Lonchura striata: one gene and its partner. The protein of the gene in region 2 purifies or fractionates together with the protein of the main gene of each other region. This does not show direct contact. Links are inferred from orthologs where the notes say so. Each region holds a gene or a part of one and is shown on either strand. Other genes may lie near its edges. The genes, in order: AP1G1 and AP1M2.

The links.
Region 1: the proteins of AP1M2 (region 2) and AP1G1 purify together in Homo sapiens (affinity purification with mass spectrometry; 4 studies listed by BioGRID and IntAct, counting the BioPlex papers as one, with this or other methods). This does not show direct contact. The link is inferred for Lonchura striata from reciprocal best matches to the Homo sapiens genes AP1M2 and AP1G1.

What each region holds. Positions count from the first base shown.
Region 1 is NC_134615.1:23,775,854-23,790,641, reverse strand, and holds the start of AP1G1 (AP-1 complex subunit gamma-1), read right to left. Parts: upstream 5,263-14,788; 5' UTR 5,150-5,262; intron 1-5,149. Other genes in the region: ATXN1L (ataxin-1-like), read left to right, coding at 6,696-8,762. UniProt on the Homo sapiens protein: Subunit of clathrin-associated adaptor protein complex 1 that plays a role in protein sorting in the late-Golgi/trans-Golgi network (TGN) and/or endosomes.
Region 2 is NC_134623.1:1,060,044-1,074,775, forward strand, and holds the start of AP1M2 (AP-1 complex subunit mu-2), read right to left. Parts: upstream 6,511-14,732; 5' UTR 6,456-6,510; coding exon 6,414-6,455; intron 4,264-6,413; coding exon 4,107-4,263; intron 4,028-4,106; coding exon 3,960-4,027; intron 3,863-3,959; coding exon 3,732-3,862; intron 2,209-3,731; coding exon 2,061-2,208; intron 574-2,060; coding exon 447-573; intron 373-446; coding exon 230-372; intron 1-229. Other genes in the region: SLC44A2 (choline transporter-like protein 2), read left to right, coding at 9,469-9,505, 12,808-12,856, 14,393-14,466, 14,593-14,677. UniProt on the Homo sapiens protein: Subunit of clathrin-associated adaptor protein complex 1 that plays a role in protein sorting in the trans-Golgi network (TGN) and endosomes.

The DNA of each region.
Region 1 (14,788 bases), on a different chromosome or scaffold from region 2:
GAAGAAACTTTGGACATGAGAATGCTTAAATTCAGAAACATTACAGAAGAGATTAACGTTTACCTAGTCTCAGCAATTCCTAAGCCTATTATAATGCAACAGATCTTTACTGCAACAATGGGAGGATAACTGTATCTTCTAGCAATAGCAGACAGTGGAGCTTCAGCTGGTGCCTAAGCGCTCCTTAGAACTTCCTCCTAAGTAGCAAATCTTGTTCTTCAAGATTAGTTAACATTTTTCACCGGTACAAACACATCCTTTTATTCTTTGCACATCAACATAAATGACAAGGCAGTTTGTAGACGTTGTTACCTATTTCCTCCTTCAGTTGAAAACAGGGGTTTCCTTCAGCCATTTCTTTGCTAACTACGAGCACCAAAAATCAGGGATAATTTCTGAATACTTGAAAGAGCCTACTAGTTAATATTTACAATATCTGGTAGTGTTGCACACAGAGTTTTTCAACCTTATAAGACCTCTTTCCCTCTTCTAATTTTGAAAGCCTTGCTCCTTAGAAGAACATACTATCAAGATCAAAACTTCTGAAAGAATCGGAGACTGAATTCAGATTAGCTCAGGTTGTATAGGTGGCCGGTGTTTAAGTTCCTTAGGACACAGAATTCCAGCTTCTTTCCTAAAATCCAGAGACTAGAAAAGGTGTCACCTCAGCGATCCTCATTCCTCTGCTGTTCAGGAATCCTTCCCATGAACTAATAAAAAGGCATTCTCTTTCTTTGTGTAACTCATCGCTACTATACAAAAGTGAAAAAAAACAAAACCGCAAAAATCTTTATGTATTAAACCATTTCATTTTCATTTACATTGTACTGATAAATCACTGTTTTCTCCTCTTTTATGGTCTGTTACTAGTAAAGCTTATTATGTTTGAAAGTTAAAGATTTTATTCAACAGGCCATTGTACCAAAAATATTTCAGTATAGAACTTTACTAGAAGTCTCTCTTAGAATACAATCACATTCAAATATAATAGGCCATCTTTTATATTTACAACACACACCTAATATTACCAAAACCCACCTTAAATCATCAAGTGCTTTAGTTAAGCTTTATTCCTCTATCAGGAATTGCAGAATAAAGACAAAGGATAGTCCTTAAACACTGAGTTGAGAAGATGTCCTCTGGAAACTATTCAGGAATGTTAGCTTATGCCTAAACTATCTAATGCGTTTCTAAGACAATAAAACTTTAAAAAATAACAATTGTTTTAAAACTTCATTAGGACAAATTATCAGACATCTAACATTTTAACATTCCATTATTATTTAGCCTTAAATTCCGGAAATGTTAAGACATAAAGGCCATCAAAATTAATGAAATTATTCACAGAAGAGATCTACTGTTTGGGGAAATGGTCTGAATTTTCAGTTGTGGTGATATACGCACCAAGTTACAGCTTTTCACGTAAATTGCATTTCTGAATTTGGTTCTGTCTAGAAAACACCCCAAGCCTGAAGCACTTCAAACACATCTAAAACACACAACTCCAGTTGCTCCACCCCAACAATGCATAAGTAATCACACTCCTCAAGCAACCCCAGCTTTTGGGAAGTTACACAACTAAAGCCAAACAGCCAAACTCCCAAATGAAATCAGCAGCAGAACTCCCCTACTTGCTGAGGTGCAACTGAATCCAGCCGAGTACACACAAGAGCAGAGGATCTGTCCAGACTCCATGAAAGGAGTAATTGCAGTGTTGACACCCAACACTGATGGCTTCAACTACACACTGCCATCAGTAGACTTCCCACTTCTATCAGACACTTAAAAAGAAAAATATGTTAGCAATAAAACCAGAAACATACTCTCCAAGTAGAGATGAGGGTGTCAACAAATGCAGAGATATTAGTATATGGTCTAGTATTAGCAATATTTATACAGATAACAGTAAATATTAAATTATTATAACTATTTATACAATAAACACCAAAGGAAGAAGCACCATCATCATTAAGAAGGGCAAAGGCAACACAAAGGAGTTGAGAGAAAGAGTAATCAACAACATAACATGCTAGCTAAGTGGGACAATCTCTTGTCAGGAAAAAGCTATTGAATGCAATAGAGAACTAGAAAGCAACATCAGAAAATCACAAAGCAATTAAGTCAGCAGGGGGCTTAAAAAATGCAGTCACATAAGAAAAGGCATTAGAGTTACACTTTGCTTTATGCAGAGACAGCTGGAGAAGAGCAGGGGAGGTCAAATAAGAAAAAAAGTATCCCAAAACAAGAGCTAAAAACAGTCCTGAAGAGATGGTCCCACTTCCAGTTACATTGAAAAAAAAAAAAACAAACCACCAACAAGGAATGCAGCACAACATTATTTAAAAAGCAAGGCTCAGTGCTACTCAAGAGTTGAGAGGAAGAGGAGAGGCAGGACAGAGGCTGAGGACATTGCACAGATCCCACCCAATCCCACTGCCAAACAACTACAGACCCCTTCCCACTCCCTGCTGACTGAGGCATGGCCCCAGAGCACAAGTCAGCACTTTAGATAAGGTATCCCATTCCTGCACAACTGTGCACATACACCAAACGCAGCAACTCCTGAGCTGCCTTCACACTGAGCTCCCAGTCAGTACAAACATTAACCTCAACAACTGCCAAAAAAGAAGAGAAATATCACCCTATTTTTTTAAGAAGGTAAAAAATGTAGGAAGAAGAATTAGCACAGCTATACAGCTGATCACCATGACAGATTCAAGAAGAATTCAAGATTTTCTGGCTTCTTCAATCACCACTGACCTACATTATCTTATCAACTGCTTCTAATTTCCCCTTAATTTAATCTGTGAACTACTCTGGCTATTTTACTTCCTGTTCACTTTCCTGCAGAGTTAAACTTTAAATAATAATAATTTTAAAAAGCCACTAGTTTGTCACAAAAACCCCTACACCCTTCTAGGTCCTTGCTAATGCCAGAGGAAAGACAAGATTTTTACATTAATTAATATGAACTTTACAACAGGCCACATAACTTCAGCTGTTCTCTAAAAAGTTCTAATCTTTTATTTCACTTGTAGCATTTCTGCCAAATAGCAGATACAGGCTGCACTAATACCTGTGATATCAGCAGATTCACTTGTACTCACATTACTGTAGCTCTGTTTTTTAAGTTACAGCCTGATCATACATTTACTTATTAACTCCAAAATGCTCCTCCAGTAAACTAATGCTCTTACCATAGCAGAACAGACCCTCTCCCCAAAGAACAGCTGAGTATCATCTAGGACAAATTAGCATCACCTGCATTCAGAAGAAATTGTTCTATCATTAAAAAATGTGATGAGATCACACAACCCATGGCCTGCAGTTCTACAGGGCCAGCTCACAAATACAAATATTCACTCTGGAGAGGCACAAGCAGCTTTACTGACTGCCATCACTTTTAGCAGCAGTAAAGATTTACACGAGCCCACACACTTGGAAAGCTGATGCTCCAAACCTGAACTGCGCTAACTAGGGTGGGCTCTGTGTGCCTGAGAACAGCCAGTTTGGACTCCTGTGCACTGTCCACAACCTTCTCACACCATGGCCTGACAGACTCACTAATCTCATGCACAGCGAGGCCACTGCAAAACGCACTACACCAACAATCAGAGCATTTCTGTTATCCCCTAATCTCTCACGGGACACTTCAAAGGTACTACACGATCTTTCCATCTCTACCGTGCCACTCTCAGAAAAACACATCAGCAGTCACAGGAACAGAAAAGAAAAACAACAAAAAAGGAAGAAAATGTTTTTTTTTTAATCATAAAGGGAGAAAATATGAAAGCTATCCTACACACTGGAAACACAAAAGCTGGATCCCCTCACAAAACAATAACCCAAGACTTACTTTTCCCTTCTCAAGAAACAGGAATTTTAATACCTTTCCTCTCCTTCTCCCAGCACAGTAGAATGGAAGGGTTCACACCAACCTCCTCAGAAAAAAACCCACAAAATCTCCTGCCTTCATTCAGCTCTTGAATACCCAACAAGTACTCAAGTTTTCAAATCCTGTGCCAAACACCAGAGAGCACACAAGTAAACAGATGAAAGAATCTGGCAACAAATGACAAGAATTTGATATACAAACAAACAAAGGAAAAAAATCCCAAGTGTAGTTTAGAGGAGAGGTAGCAGGGAAATGGGTACAAAAAGCTATTGTGCTCTACTACACAAAAAAACAACAGGGAAACAAAACAGCACAAATTTCTCTGCCATTTTAAATGTAGGATGCTAGGAGCATCCCTAAAAGATTCCCCTGCATTTACAGGGGAAAACACACTATATTTTACTGTTTAAGCCACTATGGACCAAACACCTTTTGGCCACACATGTGACACTGTTAACCTTTCAAAGATCTTCCACTGGGATTCTGCACTGTCCCATTAATATTTCAAGCATCAGAAACTGAAATTTGTCGCTCAACATTTTTACACATCACTTTCAACACAATAAAACACACACCTGTTCCATCTGTTAACTTTAAAAACAGTGTCTACTATAAAATAAACTACAATTTATCTTATAGCTCGTGCGAGAGCTCAGCCAGCCTTGAAGAAGGGACTTGAAGGCGCCCTTAGAGACCGGCCATAGCAGCTCACTGCAAATACCTTGAGCCAGACCGAAAATCTCCTGCTTCCATTAAAACCCATAACCGGGAAGTAATGCAGACGCTGCAATATTCGGAGCGCTTGTGCAGCCTAGGCAATCATATAGCGAGGGGAAGGCCGAGCACAAGTCCCGACTTCTGCCAGGACGGCAGCGGGCCACAGCACGAACCGCTCTTGAGGTACGCGCTACTGCTGCCGCTGCCCGACCTCCGGGCACGGGGGCCGAGGCAGGGCTGCACCGCCGTCTCTCCGGCAAAGAATGGCTAGGGCACGCACGGACCGCTCCCACACCCGAGCAGGAGGCCCCGGGGCGCAGGGGAGAGTTGGAAGCGGGCCGGAGCGCCAGGCAGAGACAGCGGCGCCGACAGAGGCGGCGGGAGGGCAGGGGGCGGCCTCGCGGACAGAGCAGCCGAGGCCCAGCGGCGGAGCTCGGGGCGGAGAGAGGCCCCAGGACTCGCAGGCCCCAGGCGGCGAGACCCGGAGGTCAGGGGAAGCCCGGCGGGGCAGCAAAGACCCGAGCCGGTCCCACTCACCAGGCCGGTCCCTGCAGCGGTGGCGGCGGATAGAGCCGGGCATTCAAAATGGCGGCGGCGCGGCCGCAGCACCGATACCGCAGGCGGAGGGATCCAGGCCGACTCGCTCCCCGCGACTCCGCAGGCTCTGCCGACCGCGGGTGCGAGCGCGGCCGCGCCGAGTTCGGCGGGAACGGGGCGGGGATGGCGAGAGTGTGGTACAGTAGAGGCGGTGGCGGGACCGAAAATACCGCTTGCACTACTTTTCTTGGCGGAAGCACCCGTGAGGTCTTATACGAAAACTTGCGTCTGCACCGTGGCATTCCCTGATGACGTCATGCGCGGGGCGGTCCCGGCACGCGCGCTCCCCATGCCGGGGCCGGGCGGGACCCGCCGCCCGTGTCCGCGGTTCCGGGATCGAGGGGTTCCGAGGGGCCAAGCCGCTCCCAGTTCGCCGAACCTTGCACTGTTGAAACGTCCAGCGGCGGCGGGGTGAACGCAGGGCGCCGCAGGAAACGAGGCAGCTCTGGAAGGGGATACAGAGCCACCCCCGCCCCAGGCAGCTATTCTGTTCCCGCTTCCAGGACCTTATGCCACATTAACGATTATCGAATGACGAGTAGCTGCCCCCGCGGAGCCCGGTCGGCAGCACGGGGCCAGCTGGACACTGCGGGGGTGCGAGACAGGGCACGGGCACGTTCAGACCGAAGGCTCCTGCAGGGGAGCCGGGCCACGCTGCCGCTGGGCCCTCGCTGCCAGCCAACCGCGGAGCGATCCGGTCCGGGGCGCGGGGCCAACAACAGCCGCGCGGCGCTGCCGCCAGGCGCCTGCGCTGGGGCCGGGCGGGCGCGGCTCGCGGGTCGAGCTCAGCTCCGGGCGGACGCGGCTGGTTGCCACGGCAACGGCGCTGCGCGTGCCCCGGGACGCCATCCGGCGCGGCGGAGCCACGCCTACCGAGCAGTTCCGGCGTTCGGCGTGCGCGTCATTGCCATGAGACGCGTCATCGCCGTGCGCCACGGGCGGGGAGGAGCCGGTCCGGGCGCCGGGCGGGCCCGCGGGGCCGGTCCAGGCCATGGCGGGTGAGCCACGGGCACCGGGCGGGCACCGGGCGGGAACCGGGCGAGCCCGCGGGGCCGGTCCAGGCCATGGCGGGTGAGCCGCGGGTACCGGGCGGGCACCGGGCGAGCCCGCGGGGCCGGTCCGGGCCATGGCGGGTGAGCCGCGGGCACCGGGCGAGCACCAGGCGGGCCCGCAGGACGCTACGGGGCGGGGTGCGCGGTAGCGCGGCCGCGGTTTTGGGGCCGGGGTTGGGGGCGGCGACCGGGCTCGGGCGTCTTCCGTCCTCGCGTCCCGCACCGGGGCCAGCGGCCGTCGCCGTGGCCGTTCCCGGGGCCGGGGTTCGGGCCACCTCCCCTTCCCGAGGCCTGGACTCACGGCTCCCTCTGTTCCCGGCACAGGTGAGGCGGCGGCCGGCGGCGCGGATCCCGGAGCCCGCGCGTGGCAACCCCAGTGGGTGCCCCCATGAACGAGCGGCGCGGCCGGGGCTGCCGGGACACCGCAGGGCGCCATGAGAGCGGGCCAGGAGCGCAGCCAGGAGTGTCTCCCGCCCAAGAAGCGAGAACTTGCCGCCGCCAACACTGGCACCGAGGCGGGACGGGCCGGGGGAGCCCAGGGCTCGGGCTCGGGCCCCGAGTGGGCTCGCACGGCTCGCCCGGCTCCCGCCACACCGCGCTACGGTCCCGGCGAGGCCCCCGAGGCAGCAGCGGGGCTGACGGTGGACCAATACGGGATGCTCTACAAAGTGGCAGCACCGCCTGCCACCTTCTCCCCCACGGGCCTGCACCCCGTGGTGAACGTGAGCCCCCTGCCCCCAGCCTTCAGCGTGACCTCGCCCATCATCCAGCACCCGGCGGTGCCCTTCCCCTCCATCCACTATGCACAGATCCCTTCGGCTTCCCTGCAGCTCATTGGTTCCCCCTACACAGTGCCCTATGCCGTCCCTCCTGCCTTCATGCCTAGTCCTCTCCTGTCTCCTTCCACAAACCTCAGTGCCCCCCATGTCCCCCACTTTGTTCCATATGCCTCCCTGTTCACAGAAGAAGCTGCTCCTTCCTCCCAGACTACCTCTCCTACCCACAGCTTCAACAAATCCACCTCTGCAGCCTCTCCTGGGCAGATGCAGCACCACACTGCGTCCCAACCAGTGGACATGCCACCGGGGAGGATTCCTGTTTATTATCAGATGTCCCGCCTCCCACCAGGCTATTCAGCCTATGAGGCACCTGTAGCAGGTGGGAACCCAGACTCTCCTCAGCAAGACAGTCAGCTGAGCTCAGAGGTGGCTGCGGCCAATGGTGGGCAGAGGCCCCTGGAGCAAAGTGTGGCCAGGAGGCCCAACGAGGCTGTGGACTCTGCCAGCAGTGCAGCTGAGGACTGTCTGCCCCCAGGGGCTGCAGCAGGATCTATGGGTGATGGACAGTTCCTTCCAGGTCACCAGATGCTGGGAAGAGAGATCTCTGTGCCTACTCACAGGAGCACCCCAGACGCTGATCTGGAGGTTCAGAGAGTGGTGGGGGTGTTGGCATCTCAGGATTATCATGTTCTGGCAGCCCAGAGGAAAGATGACCCAAGCCCTTTAAATCTTTGCCATAATACCACTGATGGGCAGGGAGACATGCTGAGGAACACCACAGATAGGGCTGCAGCTGGGAACAGCCAGTCCCAGAGCCCATGTGGAATGTCCCCCGAAGAGACTGCTAGACAGAGACAGTTAGCCAAAGGAATGGTGATAGCCAATGGCAAGCCAGTACTTGTTCCCGTTGGATCTGAGCCCGTCAGGTCTTCCACTTCAGAAGTCCTGCTGAGGGAAAGCCCAGATGCACAGGCTCGAGGATATGTGCTTGAAAAGGAGCTGGCCCAGTTGCAGCCACCCAGTTCCTCACAACTGCCCTCTCACTTCATGAAAGGAGCCATCATCCAGCTGGCGACGGGAGAGCTGAAGCGGGTGGAGGACCTGCAGACTCAAGACTTTGTTCGCAGTGCGGAGGTGAGTGGAGGCCTGAAGATCGACTCCAGCACTGTGGTGGATATTCAGGAAAGCCAGTGGCCTGGGCTTGTCACACTGCATTTTGTGGTTGGGGAGCAACAAAGTAAAGTGAGCATTGATGTGCCCCCGGAGCATCCCTTCTTTGTGTATGGCCAGGGCTGGTCCTCCTGCAGCCCCGGGAGGACTGCTCAGCTCTTTGCTTTACCCTGTCACAGGCTGCAAGTGGGGGATGTATGCATATCAATCAGTTTACAGAGCATGAATGGCAACTCTGCTTCTCAGGCCAACTCCCCTCTCATGGATCAGCTGGTATCTGCTAGGGAGAGATTGGAACGAACAGCCCAGGGGCCCAGAGAGCCATGTGACAGAGCTGGTGAAAGGAAGAGCCACACAGATAGAACCAGCACGGCTCAGAGCTCCCATGCAGAATCTTCTCAGTCTGAGGCTGGCAATCTGTACAGTTTGGCCCCAGGCTTCCAAAGATACAGCGTGCAGGCAGAGGAGCCTCGGCCCTCTCTGCTCCGTCCCTCTTTCATTCCCCAGGAGGTCAAGCTGTCTATTGAAGGGCGTTCGAATGCAGGGAAATGATCCCTTAGAGGTGTGAGCTAGGGCAGCCACAGCAAGCGAGCCTCACCATCAGGTAGAGGAATTGCACAGACTGTCAGAGGCTCACCAACAAAGGCTGCTTTCTGCCTTGCAGGAATAGCTCCATTCCAGTTCCATGGCTGACCAGTTGCTCCTGGGGAGTCAGGAGGCCTTCAGTGCCTCAGGGAGCAGCGACAGGCTAGCTGGGGTGGGGAGCAGGGATGTGGTCATGAGTGTGTGATGAGAGCATTCCACAGGCTGCTGGAGGCTGGGGCTTTCTCCCACTTCCTGGGATAACTGACTCCCTGCGGGGCAGGGGCTGAGCATTTGGGGCAGGTAGGGAGATGAGGAGGGCAGACTTGTCTTAAGGTAGCAGATAAAATTGCTGAAGATTTTATTTCTCCTTTCTCATGATGGGGAGATATGGGTCCCCCCTGGAGTTTGGGGGCTCTACTCCCAGCATCCCCTTTCTTCACACATGCACTTTAAAAGGACCGTTCACCGATGGAGCTCTCAAGGGCAGGATGGAGGTGCTTCTCTGGTGGTTCTGATTAATGTCTCTTCCACTGAATCCAACTACTCTTTCTTCTTGCAAAGAATGTACAGATTTGAATGAATCACATAAATTCAAGAGGAAGGACCAAAAGGATGGGCTTGGGTGCAGGTGAATAGGGAACTTGAGCACTTGAGATGGGACACAAGTTGGGATGGGAGACATTGTTTCCTGCTGTAAACTCTACTTAGTTGTTTTGCCACCAAATCAAATCTTTCTTCCTATGTTAATAACTTCCAAAAAACCCTCCTGGGCTTATAGCTTTTGCAGAGGTTAACCGAGGGATGAATGGGGTTGGATTTTTTTGTTTGGTCAAATTTTGATTTTGGATATTTTATTGGTTTGGTTTGTTTTTTTTTTTTTTTTTTTTTTTTTAATCTGGAGCAAAATACATTCAACATTCTCTAGAGAAGGTTGAAAACATCCTTCTTCTGTGAGAAGACCAATGCTATTTTGTTATTAAGTCAGAAAAATGTTCCAGATGGCTAGTTCTTCCCTGCAGGCAGTTTCTTGAATAAGCTCTATACAAGAGACGAAGTGTTTGTGCACATGCAGACAAGGTACAAAATTTGTGCTAAGTACAATTCTATGATTAATGTACGGACTCTAGAAATATCATAGTGTCACAGGGCATTTTGGGGTCATTTTGTGTTAGTTTTTCTGATGCTTCACTTCAGAGTTCCTCTGTAGAACAATGTAATCAAATCAAGAGTAGTTTTTTTCATGGTGAAATTTAATACAGTTGTGTATGAACAGCTGATTGTGGTGGTAACACTCTATTGAGTGAAGGCTCCTGTAGTTACACTAATTTGCCCTCTCTGATGGTGTTATGACACCATTGCTCAGCTAGGATAAAGAATAGTCACTGTTCTGGTAAGAAAATGGTTTTCACTGACTTAACCTGGGTTGAGTATTCCTTGTGTTGAGGTGCCCATCTCTGTGCTAGGACCAGGCTTTGGAGGGGGCTTTCTTAGTACGCAGAGTCCTGATGTTCAGCATGCTGTTCCTATCTCCCTGCTCTCATCTGCCTGAAATTTGTCAAGTGTGCCTGACTCTTGGGGTGCCACTCCTCTCTGTCACAGAATGGTGTGTGTCAGCACCTCCCCTTGCAGTGGTGCTGTCTCAGGGCTGTTCTGCACTCCCCAGGAGTGTGTCCTGTAACTGGTTTGCTTCTGCTGACTGTGCAATGGATGCATCTGTGTATTAGGCAAGTTAGTCTTCAGAATGTCCCTTCCATCCCGGCCTCAGTCCTGTTTTCTTAGCATATTACTAGCCATTTCTGCTGCCTTTAAAATGCCTGCACCAGGACAGGCCTTAGGTGAGATATGTGCTAATTATGCCCTCAGTGTTTGTGCCTCACAGGGTTCTCTGGAATGAGGATGCTGTCCCAAATGACACACTACTTCTGGTTTCATCAGCTGCATTTGGGATGTCACAGTGATGCTGTTGTGTGAAGATTCTGCCTCCTCAGGTGCAGGACCTATAGGAAACTATGCTGTTTTCACAACCCTGTGAAAGTTTCACAACCCCAGTGAAGTCTCCACCTGGGCCCCATCATCACCTGGGGGTGTCACAGCTCCTGCTGACTGGGACTCTCCTATGTAAAACTCCATTAATGTTAGTAATTAGTACTTAATATTCAGGATATCTGAGGTGTCCATGGCCAAAGGCAGGAGGCAGAGGAGCCTGGGTTCTCATGCCTGTTCTATGGACAGTGCATGCAGAAGGATTCAGGGCTTCAACAGGCACTTGAGAAAGGGATCTCGCATACATAGGGCTTGTGAATGTAGAAGGGCTGGTTACACCATAGAGGCAGTGTCTGAGCAACTGGTAGTGCAGAGCCCCTTGACTATCTCTGAACCCCGAAGTTTGTCTTAGAGTAAGGGTTTGGAGAGCTTGCCTTAACACCATGTGTGTTACTGTAACTCCTCAATCTCAGCTGCACTGTGCAGTAGTCTGAATGGGCAGTATTGACAAATGAGGCAAGATGCTGTGTGACTTAAATAGCTTTGTGCTGTAGGCACGTGAAGAACTGTGAAGGTGCTTGCCCTGTTGTCTACCTGGCTGCTGATCTGGACTCTGGCTTGCTGCACCTCTGTTGGGTGCAGTCCTGAGCTCTGTGGAACAAGCCGTGGTGAACTAGACCTTGGTGCTTTTATCCAGACTCCTGTCAGTCCTGCTGCTGTGTTTCGGCTGCCAGCTCTTCCCTGGAAGCAGTGGTTTGAAGCACAGCTCATGACAGGGGACTGAGATTAAGAATCTGTGTGTCTGGCTGTTTGCCCCAAAGGGTGGACAGGAGGGGGCCACTGACAACTCTCCAGCCAAGCTCAGCAGTACTGGTATCACAGGAACCTGTTCTTACTGGACAGGGCTGTATGGCTGAGCACCATAGTGGTGGTTGTGCTGAGCACTGAGGCTCTCCTGGGACAGGCAATATGTGGGACAGGGAGTATGTGAGACAGGCTCTGCTGCAGTGAGAAAGGCTGTGAATGAACGATGGAGGAGGCTTTTATTTCTCGGGTTTACAGGGAGAGGAGATAAAGCCAGGAAGACACTGCAGAGTAGGATGGTTACCTGGGCTTTTCTGCTGGTAGAGATGTGACAGACTTCTCAGAGAAATATACCACGTTCCTGCTGCTATTGTCTAGGGTAGGAGAGCTGTGGTCCTGCCTGGAGGAGGCCCTAATCTTATCCAGCTCATGCTCTGTAGCAGGAATCCATGGGATGCAATAGTGGGTGTCTGTAGCCATCTGTCCCATCCCATGGAACATGCCTCAGGTTAGCTGCACAGCAGAGCAAGGCCTGTCTCTGGGCTGTGCATTCACAGCAATGAGCGCTCATCACTACCAGACTATGCAGAGGAAGCTCTGTCTGGAAGGGAAGGAAGCTGCAGAGGTCCCTCTGCCTTCTCCTTCCAGCTGCTGAGCAGCTTTTTATATTGCACTTTTCACGTTGTGTCCCTGTCCCCACCCCACACTTCAAGTCACTTTGTCCTATAGAGAACTAACAATCCTTGTTACTCAGAAAATATTGTAAAAGAAACTACAGCAGCTGGAGTAGCCCAAATGCTAGTTCCTGCCTGCAGCAGCATACGTGCCTTCCCCAGCATCACTCACAACTGCTCCCTATCTTTCAAGCTGTGCTAGAGCCTGACACTTGTCAGAAGCTGCTAAGATAGCTACAAATATACATCCTGTAGAGTTTGGCCCAGGGTGTTCCACATACAGTTTAAAACGCTGATGGTCCAGGCCGTCCCATGGCCTTCACACTGTCAAGGACAGAATTGCCCCATAGGTCCTGGGCTGCTGCCACCCACCCTGCCAACACACCCCTGGCACACTCGAGTTGTTTTTGGCTTTCATGGCACCTTAGCACCAGGGAGGGTGTGCTCAGAGAGAGAGAGAAACATGGGGGAGCTGGCTGGGCTGCCCTGAGGCAGAGAGATGTTTGTAGATAAGTGCTGACCCCTCACTATATCCCCCAGTATATGGCTGTATTAACATGTAACCGATGCAGTGTATCTAAAGCCTTAGAACTAGTCAGGTGCTCCCCTCCAACTTTGTCCCTGCCCCTTTCCTCCTACCTGATCTTTAACAAAGCATTAATAATTCTAAGGATAATCTCTATTTTGTTGTGCTTTTTTTGTAACTGTTTTAAATAAATCAATTTGTACTGTATATTTGTACTTTGGTGAGATCCTTTTTCCTGTTTTACCATTTTAAGTCTGTACTTGCCTACAAACAAATTGTATTTTTATTGTTAATGCTTTTATGAATATTGCATTTAACTTGTTGACTCTGTAAACACAGTATATATCTATATACATATATATATATCTATATATAAACCAATAGCTTTTCCTTTGGTGTTTGAGACTTTTTGCTTGTGTGCAGTATCAGTGGTCATTAGCATGTGGCTTCTCTGGATTTACACAGTGATCTGGAGACTCATGTCAAAGGCAAGATACAGGGTGGAAGATGGATTATAAGTCATAATTCTGTGTTTTCAGATACTTTTGTGTTATGTGGTCTCTCCTGAACCCCTTGGAATAAAGATAAGGTGTCAGTGACAATACAAGGAAAGTTCCAGCTGCAGGTTGGAGAGTAAAGGTACATCCGTGCTGGGAGAGCAAAAACATGAGGCAGAGCAAAAGCAGATACTGCCAGAAGCAACCTGGGGGTTTGAGTATCAAATGAACACAAGTGAAGATAAAAGGGAGAGATCACAGAACAAAAGAGGATATGAACAAAGGAACATGGACCTGAACAGCTCCTTTACAGTGCCTTTTCCCAAAGAGGAGAAGCAGGGATAGCTCCTGGGTATCAGCTCTACATGATGAATGAACATAATATTAAAACAGCTTCAATACAGGGAAGAAGCTTGATATTGCAGTGGCAGGAGGAGAAAACTTTCGCTGAAAAGCTTCAATGCTGTTTCATCCCTTGGGATGCCTCTGAGAGTGGTTCTTTATTGCACAGAAAAGTGCAACATTATGCATTTTGAAGTTAACTTTTTAAACTAGGGCTTTAAGGGACTGCAATCAAATTTTTTTCAAACTGAAAAGTGAGGAGGAAATGAGGGTTTTAAGGAGTCTGATCAAAAGGTTTTGCTTCTTGTTTTAACTTAAACTCTTCTGATCTCAAGCAGCAGTCTTGTTGTCATCATTTCTGACTTAAAGAGAAACAGCCATCAGAGAGAACACAGTACTTCCCAAGGTGTTTGAACCACTGTATGACTCTAGACATAAACTGGAAATACTATGGCGCTAATAGGGGTTTTCAGGCTACAAAACAAAGAAGCGTGGCATACTGGCCTTTGTGGGCTGATGTCTCAAAACCACGAAGCTAACACCATGCATTTTCAGGTGCTCACTCTTAAAGAAGCCAAATAATGGAGGGTGTACCACTTCTTTGCGCTGCCACGAGTCCTTCTGTGCCACTGCTTTGCCTTTTGCAGTTTAAAGATGCCTAGATATAATTTCCATAGTCGCATAGTTTTAATAGTGATTTCTATTAGCAACGGGAACCTTTTCCTGTAGACACAGGCTACGATGACGTTTTGCCTCCAGTGCGTCTATGCTGCTCTTGCACTGGGGACTCCAGCACTGGACACAGGTCTCCACATGTGGCCTCACCAGTGCTGAATAAAGGGAAAAACAAATCCATAAAGTCCTAGAAACTGACGTACTCTATTATTTACCATTCAATCAACTCTTTCACTTGCAAACCTGAAATACTGTTTAAGTGAAAATAACTTCTGAGTAAAGCAGCAAACCTGTTTGCTATTTGTTTACCTTGGCCAGCCTTTCACTGTTTTTATGGGGTATCTTAAAACAGGATCTTAGGTTCCTTAGTTTTTCCATGGATGCCACTGCAACTAAGTATATAATAACGATGATTTAAAAAAGGGTGTGCACAGGTATTTCCAGAAGGACATCTTCCTTTGTTTCTTTTTTATGGGCACAAACTGCAAAGGA
Region 2 (14,732 bases):
TCCCAGCCCCCGTCTGGGTGGTCCCACCCCCGTTTGGATGGTCCCACCCCCATTTGAAGGCTCCCAGCCCCCATCTGGGTGGTCCCATCCCCCATTTGGGTGGTCTCATCCCCCATCTGGGTGGTCCCATCCCCCATTTGAAGGCTCCAAGCCCCCGTCTGGGTGGTCCCACCCCCGTTTGGATGGTCCCACCCCCCATTTGGGGGTCCCACCCCCCGTCTGACCCCACCTGGGTGTGCAGGCGGTAGGACATGAGCTCGAAGTCGCCGTCGGGGGGGATGAAGGAGATGGTGCGGTCGCTGTCGAAGCGGGACAGACGGACGCATTGGTGGAACTTCACATCCTCCAGCTCCACCGACTTGTTGGTCCCCCCTGGCAGGAGGCGGGGAGGGGGCTCAGGAGGGATTTTTTGGGGGGCTGAGACCCCCAGCCCCCCCGGCACTCACGGCCCGTCAGCTCGAAGAGGACGCGGTCGTTGAGGCCCAGACGCAGCTCCGGCATTCCCGAGAGGAAAACCTTCAGCCTGATGGTGCCCAGCACCTCGCTCAGCACCACGCTGCCGCTGGCGCTCACCTGCGGGCACGGCGCGGCGCGGGCTGGGAGCTGGCACGGGCTGGCACGGCCTGAGACCCCTCCGTTTGCCACGCCAATCCTCATTCCCATCCCAATCCCCATCCCCTTCCCACCCCAATCCTCATTTCCACCCCAATCTTCCTCCCTATCCCACCCTAATCCTCATCCCCACCCCAATTCCCATTCCTTTCCCATCCCAATCTTCATTCCCATCCCAATTCCCATTCCTTTCCCATCCCAATCTTCATTCCCACCCCAATCTCTGTCCCTTTCCCATCCCAATCTTCATTCCCACCCCAATTCCCATTCCTTTCCCATCCCAATCCTCATTCCCACCCCAATCTCTGTCCCTTTCCCATCCCAATCTTCATTCCCACCCCAATTCCCATTCCAATTCCCATTCCTTTCCCATCCCAATCCTCATTCCCATCCCAATTCCCATTCCTTTCCCATCCCAATCCTCATTCCCACCCCAATTCCCATTCCTTTCCCATCCCAATCCTCATTCCCACCCCAATCTTCCTCCCTATCCCACCCTAATCCTCATCCCCACCCCAATTCCCATTCCTTTCCCATCCCAATCCTCATTCCCACCCCAATTCCCATTCCTTTTCCATCCCAATCCTCATTCCCACCCCAGTCTTGCTCCCTATTCCACCCCAATCCTCATTCCCACCCCAAACCTCATTCCCACCCCAATCCCCCTCCCTATCCCACCCCAATCCCCATTCTTTTCCCACCCCAATCCTTGTTCCCACCCCAATTCACATCCCCTTCCCATCCCAATCCACATTCTCATCCTAATCCTCATTCCCACCCCAATCCTCATCTCTTTCCCACCCCAATCCTCATTTCCACCCCAATCCTCATTCCCACCCCAATTTTGCTCCCTATCCCACCCCAATCCTCATTCCCACCCCAATTCCCATTCCTTTCCCACCCAATCTTCATTCCCACCCCAATCCCTATCCCCTTCCCATTCCAATCCTCATTCCCACCCCAATTTTGCTCCCTTTCCCCCCCCCATATCCCCAGTCCCCCCAGTACCCCCAATACCCCCAGTACCCCCAGTCCTCCCAGTTCCCCCCAGTACCCCCAGTACCCTCAGTGCCCCCCATGCCCCCAGTCCCCCCAGTTCCCCCAGTTCCCCCAGTCCCCCCAGTTCCCCCAGTTCCCCCAGTCCCCCCAGTTCCCCCAGTTCCCCCAGTCCCCCCAGTCCTCCCAGTACCCCCGGTGCCCCTCACCAGCAGGTTGACGGCCTCCACCACATCGACGAACACCTCGTTCTTCTTGTGTCCCCAGTCCCCCCAGTCCCCCCAGTTCCCCCAGTCCCCCCAGTCCCCCCAGTTCCCCCAGTACCCCCCGTGCCCCTCACCAGCAGGTTGACGGCCTCCACCACGTCGATGAACACCTCGTTCTTCTTGTGCCCCCAGTCCCCCCAGTTCCCCCAGTTCCCCCAGTACCCCCGGTGCCCCCGTGCCCCTCACCAGCAGGTTGACGGCCTCCACCACGTCGATGAACACCTCGTTCTTCTTGTGGCAGATGCCCTCGGAGCGCCAGGACACGGCGTTGGTCACCGTGCTGGGCACGCGCCCCCCGCCCGCCTCCAGCCGCTTCCCCTCCTGCGTGATGTACCTGGGGAGGGGGCGGTGGGGAGGGGGATTGGGGTGGGAAAAGATGGGGAATGGGATAGGGATGGAGATTGGGGTGGGAAGGGGATGGAGATTGGGGTGGGAACGAGGATTGGGGTGAAAATGAGGATGGGGATGGTGGGGAAAGGGATGGGGATTGGGATAGGGATGGAGATTGGGGTGGGAATGAGGATTGGGGTGGGAATGAGGGTTGGGGTGGGAAGGGGATGGGGATTGAGGTGGAAAAGGGGATGGATATTGGGGTGGGAAAGAGGATTAAAGTGGAAATGAGGATGGGGATGGCAGGGAAAGGGATGGGGATTGGGAAAGGGATGGGGATTGGGATAGGGATGGAGATTGGGGTGGGAAGGGGATGGAGATTGGGGTGGGAATGAGGATTGGGGTGAAAATGAGGATGGGGATGGCGGGGAAAGGGATGGGGATTGGGATAGGGATGGAGATGGGGATTGTGATTGGAAGGGGATGGATATTGGGGTGGGAATGAGGATTGGGGTGGGAATGAGGATTGGGGTGGGAAAGGAGGGTTGGGGTGGGAACAGGGATGGATATTGGGGTGGGAACAGGCAGTGGGGTGGGAATGGGATAGGGATTGGGGTGGAAAAGGGAATTGGGGTGGGAAGGGGATGGGGATTGGGGTGGGAACGGGCAGTGGGGTGGGAAGGGGATGGGGATTCGGGTGGGAACGAGGATTGGGGTGGGAATGAGGATTGGGCTGGGAAGGGGATGGAGATTGGGGTGGGAAAGGAATAGGAATTGGGGTGGGAACGGGCAGCGGGGTGGGAAGGGGATGAGGATTGGGGTGGGAATGAGGATTGGGGTGGGAATGAGGATTGGGGTGGGAAAGGAATGGGAATTGGGGTGGGAAGGGGCAGCGGGGTGGGAAGGGGATGAGGATTGGGGTGGGAAGGAGGATTGGGGTGGGAAAGGGATGGGGATTGGGGTGGGAATGAGGATTGGGGTGGGAACGAGGATTGGGGTGCGATAGGGATGGGAATTGGGGTGGGAATGAGGATTGGGATGGGAACGAGGATTGGGGTGGGATAGGGATGGGAATTGGGGTGGGAATGAGGATTGGGATGGGAACGAGGATTGGGGTGGGATAGGGATGGGAATTGGGGTGGGAAGGGGATGGAGATTGGGGTGGGAACGAGGATTGGGGTGGGAAGGGGATGGGAATTGGGGTGGGAACAAGGATTGGGGTGGGAAGGGGATGGGAATTGGGGTGGGAACGAGGATTGGGGTGGGAAGGGGATGGGAATTGGGGTGGGAACAAGGATTGGGGTGGGAAGGGGATGGGAATTGGGGTGGGAACAAGGATTGGGGTGGGAAGGGGATGGGAATTGGGGTGGGAACGAGGATTGGGGTGGGATAGGGATGGAGATTGGGGTGGGATAGGGATGGGAATTGGGGTGGGAACGAGGATTGGGGTGGGAAAGGGATGGGAATTGGGGTGGGAAGGGGCAGCGGGGTGGGAAGGGGATCCCGTGGCCCCCTCCCCACGCTCACTCCTGCAGGATCTTGCTGTCCGTGGTCTGCGGGAAGCCGAAGTCCATCAGCTCGTCCAGCAGCTCGTAGACGATGACGAAGTTGTCGCGGACGCTCTCCTCCTCCAGCTCCTTGAAGTACTCGCAGAACACCTTGGGGAGGGGGTCCCAGCACCCCGGGGTGCGGGGAAAACCCTAAATTAGGGTGGTCCTCACCCCCAGACCCACCCGAGACCCCTCCCCAGCTCACCTCCACCACCTTGTAGAGGAAGGAGAAGACCAAGGAGGCGTTGCCGTTCTTCTTGGTGGTGGCCACCACTGAGGTGGGCTTAAGGAAAAACCCGAGGCTGGGGAGGGGTCCCGGGGTGATTTTGGGGAGGGGGTCCCGGAAGGATACGGTAGAGGTTGGCGTGTTTGATCCACAGGAAGTGGAGGTGGCCGCAGGGGAGGACGGGCGTCAGCGTCCCCTCCTCCTCGCGCTGCTGCAGGACCCCCAGGAAGTTCTCGATGTCCCCCAGCCCCACGTCCCCCTTGTAGCTGCGGCTGATCAGCGGCTGCGGGGCGGCCGGGGGGTCAGAAATGGGGACCCCCACCCCAATTTCCCCTCTCCCCAAGTTGCTCGGCACGCCTCGGGGTCGGGGGGGGGGTCACGGTCACTGAGAAGGGCAGAGGGGGCAGTGGGGAGACCCCAGCCCCAACAGAGGGGAGACCCCCACCCCAAGTAGGGTTTGGGGTGGTCGTGGGGGTGTGGGGAGGGGTCACAGTGGAGAAACCCCCTCCCCAAAATCCCCAAAATCCACGGGGTCACGGGGGGGTCACCACCACTGACCTTGGCTGACCTTCAGGGACAGAGGGGACAGTGGGGAGACCCCCACCCCAAGTAGGGTGGTCGTGGTGGGTGTGGGGAGGGGGTCACAGGTGGAGAAACCCCCTCCCCAAAATCCACGGGGTCACGGGGGGGGTCACCACCACTGACCTTGGCTGACCTTTAGGGACAGAGGGGACCCCAGTGGGGAGACCCCCAGCCCCAACAGAGGGGAGACCCCCACCCACATTAGGGTTTGGGGTGGTCGTGGGGGTGTGGGGAGGGGGTCACAGTGGAGAAACCCCCTCCCCAAAATCCCCAAAATCCACGGGGTCACGGGGGGGTCACCACCACTGACCTTGGCTGACCTTTAGGGACAGAGAGGACAGTGGGGAGACCCCCACCCCAAGTAGGGTGGTCGTGGTGGGTGTGGGGAGGGGGTCACACGTGGAGAAACCCCCTCCCCAAAATCCACGGGGTCACGGGGGGGGGGTCACCACCACTGACCTTGGCTGACCTTTAGGGACAGAGGGGACCCCAGTGGGGAGACCCCCAGCCCGGGCAGAGGGGAGACCCCCACCCACGTTAGGGTTTGGGGTGGTCGTGGCGGTGTGGGGAGGGGGTCACAGTGGAGAAACCCCCTCCCCAAAATCCCCAAAATCCACGGGGTCATGGGGGGGTCACCACCACTGACCTTGGCTGACCTTCAGGGACAGAGGGGACAGTGGGGAGACCCCCACCCCAAGTAGGGTGGTCGTGGTGGGTGTGGGGAGGGGGTCACAGGTGGAGAAACCCCCTCCCCAAAATCCACGGGGTCACGGGGGGGGTCACCACCACTGACCTTGGCTGACCTTTAGGGACAGAGGGGACCCCAGTGGGGAGACCCCCAGCCCCAACAGAGGGGAGACCCCCACCCACATTAGGGTTTGGGGTGGTCGTGGGGGTGTGGGGAGGGGGTCACAGTGGAGAAACCCCCTCCCCAAAATCCCCAAAATCCACGGGGTCACGGGGGGGTCACCACCACTGACCTTGGCTGACCTTTAGGGACAGAGAGGACAGTGGGGAGACCCCCACCCCAAGTAGGGTGGTCGTGGTGGGTGTGGGGAGGGGGTCACACGTGGAGAAACCCCCTCCCCAAAATCCACGGGGTCACGGGGGGGGGGTCACCACCACTGACCTTGGCTGACCTTTAGGGACAGAGGGGACCCCAGTGGGGAGACCCCCAGCCCGGGCAGAGGGGAGACCCCCACCCACGTTAGGGTTTGGGGTGGTCGTGGCGGTGTGGGGAGGGGGTCACAGTGGAGAAACCCCCTCCCCAAAATCCCCAAAATCCACGGGGTCATGGGGGGGTCACCACCACTGACCTTGGCTGACCTTCAGGGACAGAGGGGACAGTGGGGAGACCCCCACCCCAAGTAGGGTGGTCGTGGTGGGTGTGGGGAGGGGGTCACAGTGGAGAAACCCCCTCCCCAAAATCCACGGGGTCACAGGGGGGGTCACCACCACTGACCTTGGCTGACCTTTAGGGACAGAGGGGACCCCAGTGGGGAGACCCCCAGACCCAACAGAGGGGAGACCCCCACCCACGGTAGGGTTTGGGGTGGTCGTGGTGGGTGTGGGGAGGGGGTCACAGGTGGAGAAACCCCCTCCCCAAAATCCACGGGGTCACGGCCACTGATAAGGACAGAGGGTACCCCAGTGGGGAGACCCCCAGCCCCAACAGAGGGGAGACCCCCACCCACGTTAGGGTTTGGGGTGGTCGTGGTGAGTGTGGGGAGGGGGTCACAGTGGAGAAACCCCCTCCCCAAAATCCACCACTGACCTCAGCTGACCTTTAGGGACAGAGGGGACAGCGGGGCGACCCCCGGCGGGTTTTGGGGGTCTGTCGGGGGGTCTCACCTTCCCCTTGAGGTCCAGGATGAAGAGGGCGGAGGCGGCCATGGCTCCCGCGCCGTCACCTCCGGCACCGTCACCTGCCCAGGTGCGCGGCCGCGCCTTAAAGGGGACGGCCCCGCCCCTCTCCCCACACCGGGGGTCTCACCCCCTCCCCTGCTGGGGGGAGACCCCCCAACCTCGCCCACTCCACGGCCACCCCCAGCCCCACCCCTCCGTTTTGGGGTGGGGGGCGTGGGGTGACACCCAAAGGTGGGTTTGGGACCCCCGCGTGCCCCACGGTGGGGAGGGGGTCTCTGCGCCCCCAAAATTTCCTTTTTTGGGGGGGGGGGGGGTGTCCCCGCAGCTTCTGATGGCTGGATTCCCCACCCTGGGGGTCGCTGCAGCCCCCCCAGACCCCCTGTGCCCCCCACCCATGAGGGGTCTCCATCAGACCCCCCACCTTGGGTGGTCCCTGCACCCCCAGACCCCCCCCCCACGGGTGACCCCCACGGGAGGGGGATCGCTGCACCCCCACATCCTCCCCTCCGGGGTGGGGGTCTCCATGCCGACATCCCCCACTCTGCGTGACCCCCCCAAAAGCCCCCAGACCCCCCAATTCCCTTCGGGCACCTTCCAATTCCCGCACCCCCCCCCCCGCATCCTCCGGTCCCACCGGAGCCCCGGGAGGGGCGGGACGGGCCCGGGCCCGGCCCCGGGGGCGGATCGGTGCTGAGGGCCGGGCCCGGAGCCGCCCCGCCCGCAGGCACAGCCCGGGGGTACCGGGGATACCGGGGATACCGGGGGGGCTCCGGTGCTACCGGAGGAGCCGCCCAGAGCCGCCATGGACCGGCCCGCGGGCAGGAGGGACCCGGACGGCGATTACGGTACCGAGCATCCGCCCCGCGCCCCGCCCGGGGGTCCCCCCGAACCCCCGGGGTTGGGACCCCCGGCTTCGGGACCCCCATTTTGGGGAATCCCCGTTTTGGGGAACCCAGTTTTGGGGACCCCCCCCCCTTGGGGACCCCCGTTTTGGGGACCCCCATTTTGGTGACCCCATTTTGGGGACCCCCGTTTTGGGGACCCCCATTTTGGTGACCCCATTTTGGGGACCCCCGTTTTGGGGACCCCCATTTTGGTGACCCCATTTTGGGGACCCCCGTTTTGGGGACCCCCATTTTGGTGACCCCCGCGTTTGGAGACCCCGTTTTGGAACCCCCATTTTGGGGACCCCCGGATTTGGGGACCCCCACCCTTGGAGACCCCCACGTTTGGAGACCCCCATTTTGGGGACCCCCGCGTTTGGGGACCCCGTTTTGGAACCCCCATTTTGGCGACCCCATTTTGGTGACCCCCATTTCGTGACCCCCATTTCAGGACCCCCATTTCGGGACCCCCATTTCGTGACCCCCATTTCGGGTCCCCCATTTCAGGACCCCCATTTCGTGACCCCCATTTCGTGACCCCCATTTCGGGACCCCCATTTGGAGACCCCAATTCGTGACCCCCAATTCGTGACCCCCATTTCGGGACCCCCATTTCGAGACCCCCATTTCAGGACCCCCATTTCGTGACCCCCATTTCAGGACCCCCATTTCGTGACCCCCATTTCGTGACCCCCATTTCAGGACCCCCATTTCGTGTCCCCCATTTCAGGACCCCCAATTCGTGACCCCCATTTTGGTGACCCCCATTTCAGGACCCCCATTTCGTGACCCCCATTTCGTGTCCCCCATTTCGTGACCCCCATTTCAGGACCCCCATTTCGTGACCCCCATTTCGTGACCCCCATTTCGTGACCCCCATTTCGTGACCCCCATTTTGTGACCCCCATTTTGGTGACCCCCATTTCGTGACCCCCATTTCGTGTCCCCCATTTCGTGACCCCCATTTCAGGACCCCATTTCGGGTCCCCCATTTCGTGACCCCATTTCAGGACCCCCATTTCGTGTCCCCCATTTCAGGACCCCCATTTCAGGACCCCCATTTCGTGACTCCCATTTCGTGACCCCCATTTCAGGACCCCCATTTCAGGACCCCCATTTCGTGACCCCCATTTTGGGGGGCTCGGGCTCCCGGGCGGGGTCCCGGCGGTGTCCCCGGTGCCCGCTCCGGTACCGGAGGGAGGGAGGGGACCCGGGAGGCAGCCCCGGGCCCCTCCCCGCGGGCACCGGAGCCCCCCGAGCGGCGGGACCCCCCGTTTTTCCCGGCCCGCTCTTTGTTCCCGGTGCTGACATCACCGGCGGCCGCTCCCGGTGATTTATTTACCGCACGAGAACCGGGGCGGGGCTGGAACCGGCGTCACGGCGGCGGGGAGCCGGCACCGCCCGCCGCCCTTTTCCCGGCACCGACCGGACACTCCCCGCCCGGTACCGGCCTCCGGACCGGGTCTGGCGGGGCCGGACCGCGCCCCGGAGCTTCCCGGTACCGGGACCGGAGCTCCTCTGTTTGCCCCGGTGGCTGAATTCCCGGTAACCCCGGGACCGGAGCTCCTCGGTTTGCCCCGGTGCCAGAATTCCCCGGTAACCCCGGAGATTCCCGGGACCGGAGCTCCTCTGTTTGCTCCCGTGTCTGAATCCCCCGGTAACCCCGGAGCTTCCCGGTACCGGGACCGGAGCTCCTCGCTTTGCCCCGGTGCCTGAATCTCCCGGTAACCCCGGTACCGGAGCTCCTCGCTTTGCCCCGGTGCCAGAATCCCCCGGTAACCCCGGAGATTCCCGGTACCGGAGCTCCTCTGTTTGCTCCCGTGTCTGAATCCCCCGGTAACCCCGGAGCTTCCCGGTACCGGGACCGGAGCTCCTCGCTTTGCCCCAGTGTCTGAATTCCCGGTAACCCCGGTACCGGAGCTCCTCGCTTTGCCCCGGTGTGTGAATTCTCGGTAACCCCGGGACCGGAGCTCTCCCCGCTGCCCCCCGGTGCCGGTGCCCGCTCCTCCGCGCTCTCCCCGGTGCACCGGGGCTCCGCCGCTCCCGGGGCGGGGCTTGGCTCCCGTTCGTGCCCCGGAGGGCGGATTTTGGGGCGGGGTCGCCTGAGCCCTGCCCAGCCCGGTGCGAACGGGAACGGGAACGGGAACGGGTCCGGGATGGGGGGACACGGGGACAACTACTACGGCAAACACGGTAACGGCGGCGGGGGCGGCGGATTTTGGGGGGGTCGGAACGGCGACCGGAGCTCGGGGGAATTTTTTGGGGGGTCGGGGGGCTCCGTTCGGGGCTCCCGGTGGGTCCGGGGGGTTTTTTTGGGGGGTTACCGGCGGTTTTGGGGCGTTCCTACGGGCGGGCGGCGGGAGGAGAGAAACGGAAAGGCGGAAAAACGAACCGAAACCGGGCGGAAAACCGGGAGATAAAAAGCGAAAGTAAAATCGGCCGCGCCCCCCCCCCCCCGCGGTTTTTTGGGGGGCCCGCGGTTGGTTTTTTGGGGGTTTTTTGGGGGATTTTGGGGTGAAGCTCCCCGGTAACCGCAGGACCGGCCCGGCAGCCGCGGCCGGGATAAAAACCGGCTCCGGCGGTTCCGCGGCGTCACCGGGAGCGGCGGCCCCGGGGCTGGCCCGGGATCGGTTCCGGGGGTTCGGGGGGTTCGGAGAGGGGAGAGCGGCCCCCCGGAAAACGGAGCCCCCCCAAAAATATCCCAAAGAAAATGGGGCCCCAAAAATATCCCGAAGGAAACGAACCCCCAAAAATATCCCAAAGGAAACAAACCCCAAAAATATCCCGAAGAAAACGAACCCCCAAAAATATCCCAAAGGAAACGGGGCCCCAAAAATATCCCAAAGTAAACGAGACCCCAAAAATATCCCAAAGGAAACGAGACCCCAAAAATATCCCAAAACAAACGAGCCCCAAAAATATCCCGAAGAAAATGAACCCCCAAAAATATCCCAAAGGAAACGAACCCCCAAAAATATCCCGAAGAAAATGAACCCCCAAAAATATCCCAAAACAAACGAGACCCCAAAAATATCCCGAAGAAAATGAGACCCCAAAAATATCCCGAAGAAAATGGGGCCCCAAAAATATCCCGAAGAAAATGAGACCCCAAAAATATCCCGAAGAAAACGAACCCCCAAAAATATCCCAAAGGAAACGGGGCCCCAAAAATATCCCAAAGTAAACGAGACCCCAAAAATATCCCAAAGGAAACGAGACCCCAAAAATATCCCAAAACAAACGAGCCCCAAAAATATCCCGAAGAAAATGAACCCCCAAAAATATCCCAAAGGAAACGAACCCCCAAAAATATCCCGAAGAAAATGAACCCCCAAAAATATCCCAAAACAAACGAGACCCCAAAAATATCCCGAAGAAAATGAGACCCCAAAAATATCCCGAAGAAAATGGGGCCCCAAAAATATCCCGAAGAAAATGAGACCCCAAAAATATCCCGAAGAAAATGAACCCCAAAAATATCCCAAAGTAAATGAGACCCCAAAAATATCCCAAAACAAACGAACCCCAAAAATATCCCAAAGAAAATGAGACCCCAAAAATATCCCGAAGCAAACGAACCCCAAAAATATCCCAAAGGAAACGGGGCCCCAAAAATATCCCAAAACAAACGAGACCCCAAAAATATCCCAAAGAAAACGAGACCCCAAAAATATCCCAAAGGAAACGAGACCCCAAAAATATCCCGAAGAAAATGAACCCTCAAAAATATCCCAAAGAAAATGGGGCCCCAAAAATATCCCAAAGGAAACGGGGCCCCAAAAATATCCCAAATTAAATGAGACCCCAAAAATATCCCAAAGGAAACGAACCCTCAAAAATATCCCAAAGGAAATGAGACCCCCAAAAATATCCCAAAGGAAACGAACCCTCAAAAATATCCCAAAGTAAATGAGACCCAAAAAATATCCCAAAACAAACGAGACCCCAAAAATATCCCAAAACAAACGAACCCCAAAAATATCCCGAAGAAAATGAACCCCCAAAAATATCCCAAAACAAACGAGCCCCAAAAATATCCCAAAGAAAATGGGGCCCCAAAAATATCCCAAAGAAAATGAACCCCCAAAAATATCCCAAAACAAAGGAGACCCCAAAAATATCCCAAAGGAAACGAGACCCCAAAAATATCCCGAAGTAAATGAACCCTCCCAAAAATATCCCAAAGCAAATGATCCCCCCCAAAAATATCCCCGGCATTTGGGGTGTTTCTGGTGGGATTTGGGGTGTTTTCGTAGGATTTGGGGTTTTTCCCTGGGATTTGGGGTGTTCACTGGGATTTGGGGTTTTTCCCTGGGATTTGGGTTTTTTCCATGGGATTTGGGGTGCTTCCATGGGATTTGGGGTATTTCTGTGGGATTTGGGTTTTTTCCGTGGGATTTGGGGTGTTTCTGTGGGATTTGGGGTGTTTCCATGGGATTTGGGGCTTTTAGATTGGATTGGGGGTTGGATTTGGGGTGTTTCCCTGGGATTTGGGGTGTTTCCCTGGGATTTGGGGTGTTTCCCTGGGATTTGGTGTTTTTCTGTGGCATTTGTGATTGGATTTGGGGTGTTTCTGGTGGGATTTGGGGTGTTTCCCTTGGATTCGGGGTGTTTCTGGTGGGATTTGGGGTTTTTCCCTTGGATTTGGGTTGTTTCTATGGGATTTGGGTTTTTTTCCGTGGGATTTGGGGTGTTTCCCTGGGATTTGGGGTGTTTCCCTGGGATTTGGGGTGTTTTCCTGGGATTTGGGGTTTTTTCTGTGGGATTTGGGGTGTTTCCCTGGGATTTGGGGTGTTTCCCTTGGATTTGGGGTGTTTCCATGGGATTTGGGGTTGGATTTGGGGTGTTTCCCTTGGATTTGGGCTTGGATTCGGGGTTTTTCCCTGGGATTTGGGGTGCTTACCTGGGATTTGGGGTTTTTCCATTGGATTTGGCGTTTTTCTGTGGGGTTTGGGGTGTTTCTGTGGGAGGAGGAGGAGGAGGAGGATGAGGACGACGGGGAGGATGAAGAGGAGGATGAGGATGTGGATGAGGAGGACGAGGAGGAGGAGGAGGATGAGGATGAGGAGGATGAGGAAGATGAGGATGAGGATGAGGAGGACGAGGAGGATGAGGATGAGGAGGATGAGGAGGACGAGGAGGATGAGGACGAGGAGGATGAGGATGAGGAAGATGAGGATGAGGAGGATGAGGAGGACGAGGAGGATGAGGATGAGGAGGACGAGGAGGATGAGGAGGACGAAGAGGATGAGGACGAGGAGGAGGACGAGGACGAGGAGGATGAGGAAGATGAGGACGAGGATGAGGAGGACGAGGAGGATGAGGATGAGGAGGATGAGGAGGACGAGGAGGATGAGGATGAGGAGGACGAGGAGGATGAGGAGGATGAGGAAGATGAGGATGAGGATGAGGATGAAGAGGAGGATGAGGAGGATGAGCAGAGCCTTCCTCCCGCCGCTGCCCTTCCCCACGGCCGCTCCTCTTCCTCCCCGCAGGAACGCCGCAGAAATACGACCCCACCTTCAAAGGGCCCATCTACGACAGGTGGGCAGAGCCCCCGTCCCCCCAATCCGGGGTCACCCCAAATCCGGGTCCCCCAATCCGGGGTCACCCCAAATCCGGGGTCACCCCAAATCCAGGTCTCCAAATCTGGGGATCCCCCAAATCCGGGGTCACCCCAAATCCGGGGTCCTCAAATCCGGGGTCACCCCAAATCCGGGTCCCCAAATCCGGGGTCACCCCAAATCCGGGGGCACCCCAAATCAGGGGTCACCCCAAATCCGGGGTCACCCCAAATCAGGGAATCCCCCAAATCCGGGGTCACCCCAAATCCAGGGTCACCCAAATCCGGGTCCCCAAATCCGGGTCCCCAAATCCGGGTCCCCAAATCGAGGGTCCTCCCCAAATCCTGGGTTCCCAAATCCTGGGTCCCCAAACCGAGGGTCCCCAAATTGAGGGTCCCCAAATCCAGAGTCCCCAAATCCTGGGTCCTCCCCAAATCCTGGGTCCTCCCCAAATTAAGGGTCCCCAAATTAAGGGTCCTCAAATCCAGGGTCCCCAAAGCGAGGGTCCCCAAATCCAGGATCCCCAATTAGGGTCCCCAAATCCTGGGTCCCAAACCGAGGTTCCCCAGATCAGATTCCCCAAACCGAGGGTCCCCAAATCCAGGGTCCCCAAATCCAGGGTCCCCAAATTAGGGTCCCCAAATCCTGGGTCCCCAACCGAGGGTCCCCAACTGAGGGTCCCCAAACCGAGGGTCCCAAACCAAGGGTCCCCAAATCAAATTCCCCAAACCGAGGGTCCCCAAATCAGATTCCCCAACTGAGGGTCCCCAAATCGAGGATCCCCAAATCCAGGATCCCCAAATCAAATTCCCCAAATCAAATTCCCCAAACCGAGGGTCCCCAAATCCAGGATCCCCAAATCCTGGGTTCCCAAATCGAGGGTCCCAAACCGAGGGTCCCCAAATCCAGGATCCCCAAATCCAGGATCCCCAAATCAAATTCCCCAAACCAAGGTTCCCCAAATCGAGGGTCCCAAATCGAGGGTCCCCAAATCAGATTCCCCAAATCAGATTCCCCAAACCGAGGGTCCCCAAACCGAGGGTCCCCAAATCCAGGATCCCCAAATCCAGGGTCCCCAAATCAAATTCCCCAAACCGAGGGTCCCAAACCGAGGGTCCCAAACCGAGGATCCCCAAATCCAGGTTCCCCAAACCGAGGGTCCTAAACCGAGGGTCCCCAAATCCAGGATCCCCAAATCCAGGGTCCCCAAACCGAGGGTCCCAAACCGAGGGTCCCCAACCAAGGGTCCCCAACTGAGGGTCCCCAACCGAGGGTCCCCAAATCAAATTCCCCAAACCGAGGGTCCCCAAACTGAGGATCCCCAAATCCAGGTTCCCCAAACCGAGGGTCCCAAATCCAGGTTCCCCAAACCGAGGGTCCCCAAACCGAGGGTCCCCAACCAAGGGTCCCAAACCGAGGGTCCCCAACCAAGGGTCCCCAACTGAGGGTCCCCAACCGAAGGTCCCCAAATCCTGGGTCCCCAACCGAGGGTCCCCCCTTGCTGTCCCCGCCGCAGGGGCTGCACCGACGTCGTCTGCTGCGTCCTGCTGCTGGTGGCCATCGTGGCCTACGTGGTGGTCGGCGTCGTGGGTAGGTCCTGGGGGTCTCCGGAGGGGTCTGGGGGCTGCAGAGGTTGGGGTGGGGGTGGGTGGGTGGGGGGGTTGGGGTGGGTGGGGGGTGGTCTTGACCCCGGCCTCACCCTCCTGCGCCCCCCAGCCTGGACCCACGGAGACCCCCGCAAGGTGATCCACCCCACGGACAGCCGCGGGCAGTTCTGCGGGCAGCAGGGGACCCCCAACGAGTGAGAGCCGGACCCCTCCCCAAAAAAGGAAAAAAATAAAATTATTCCTCGCGGT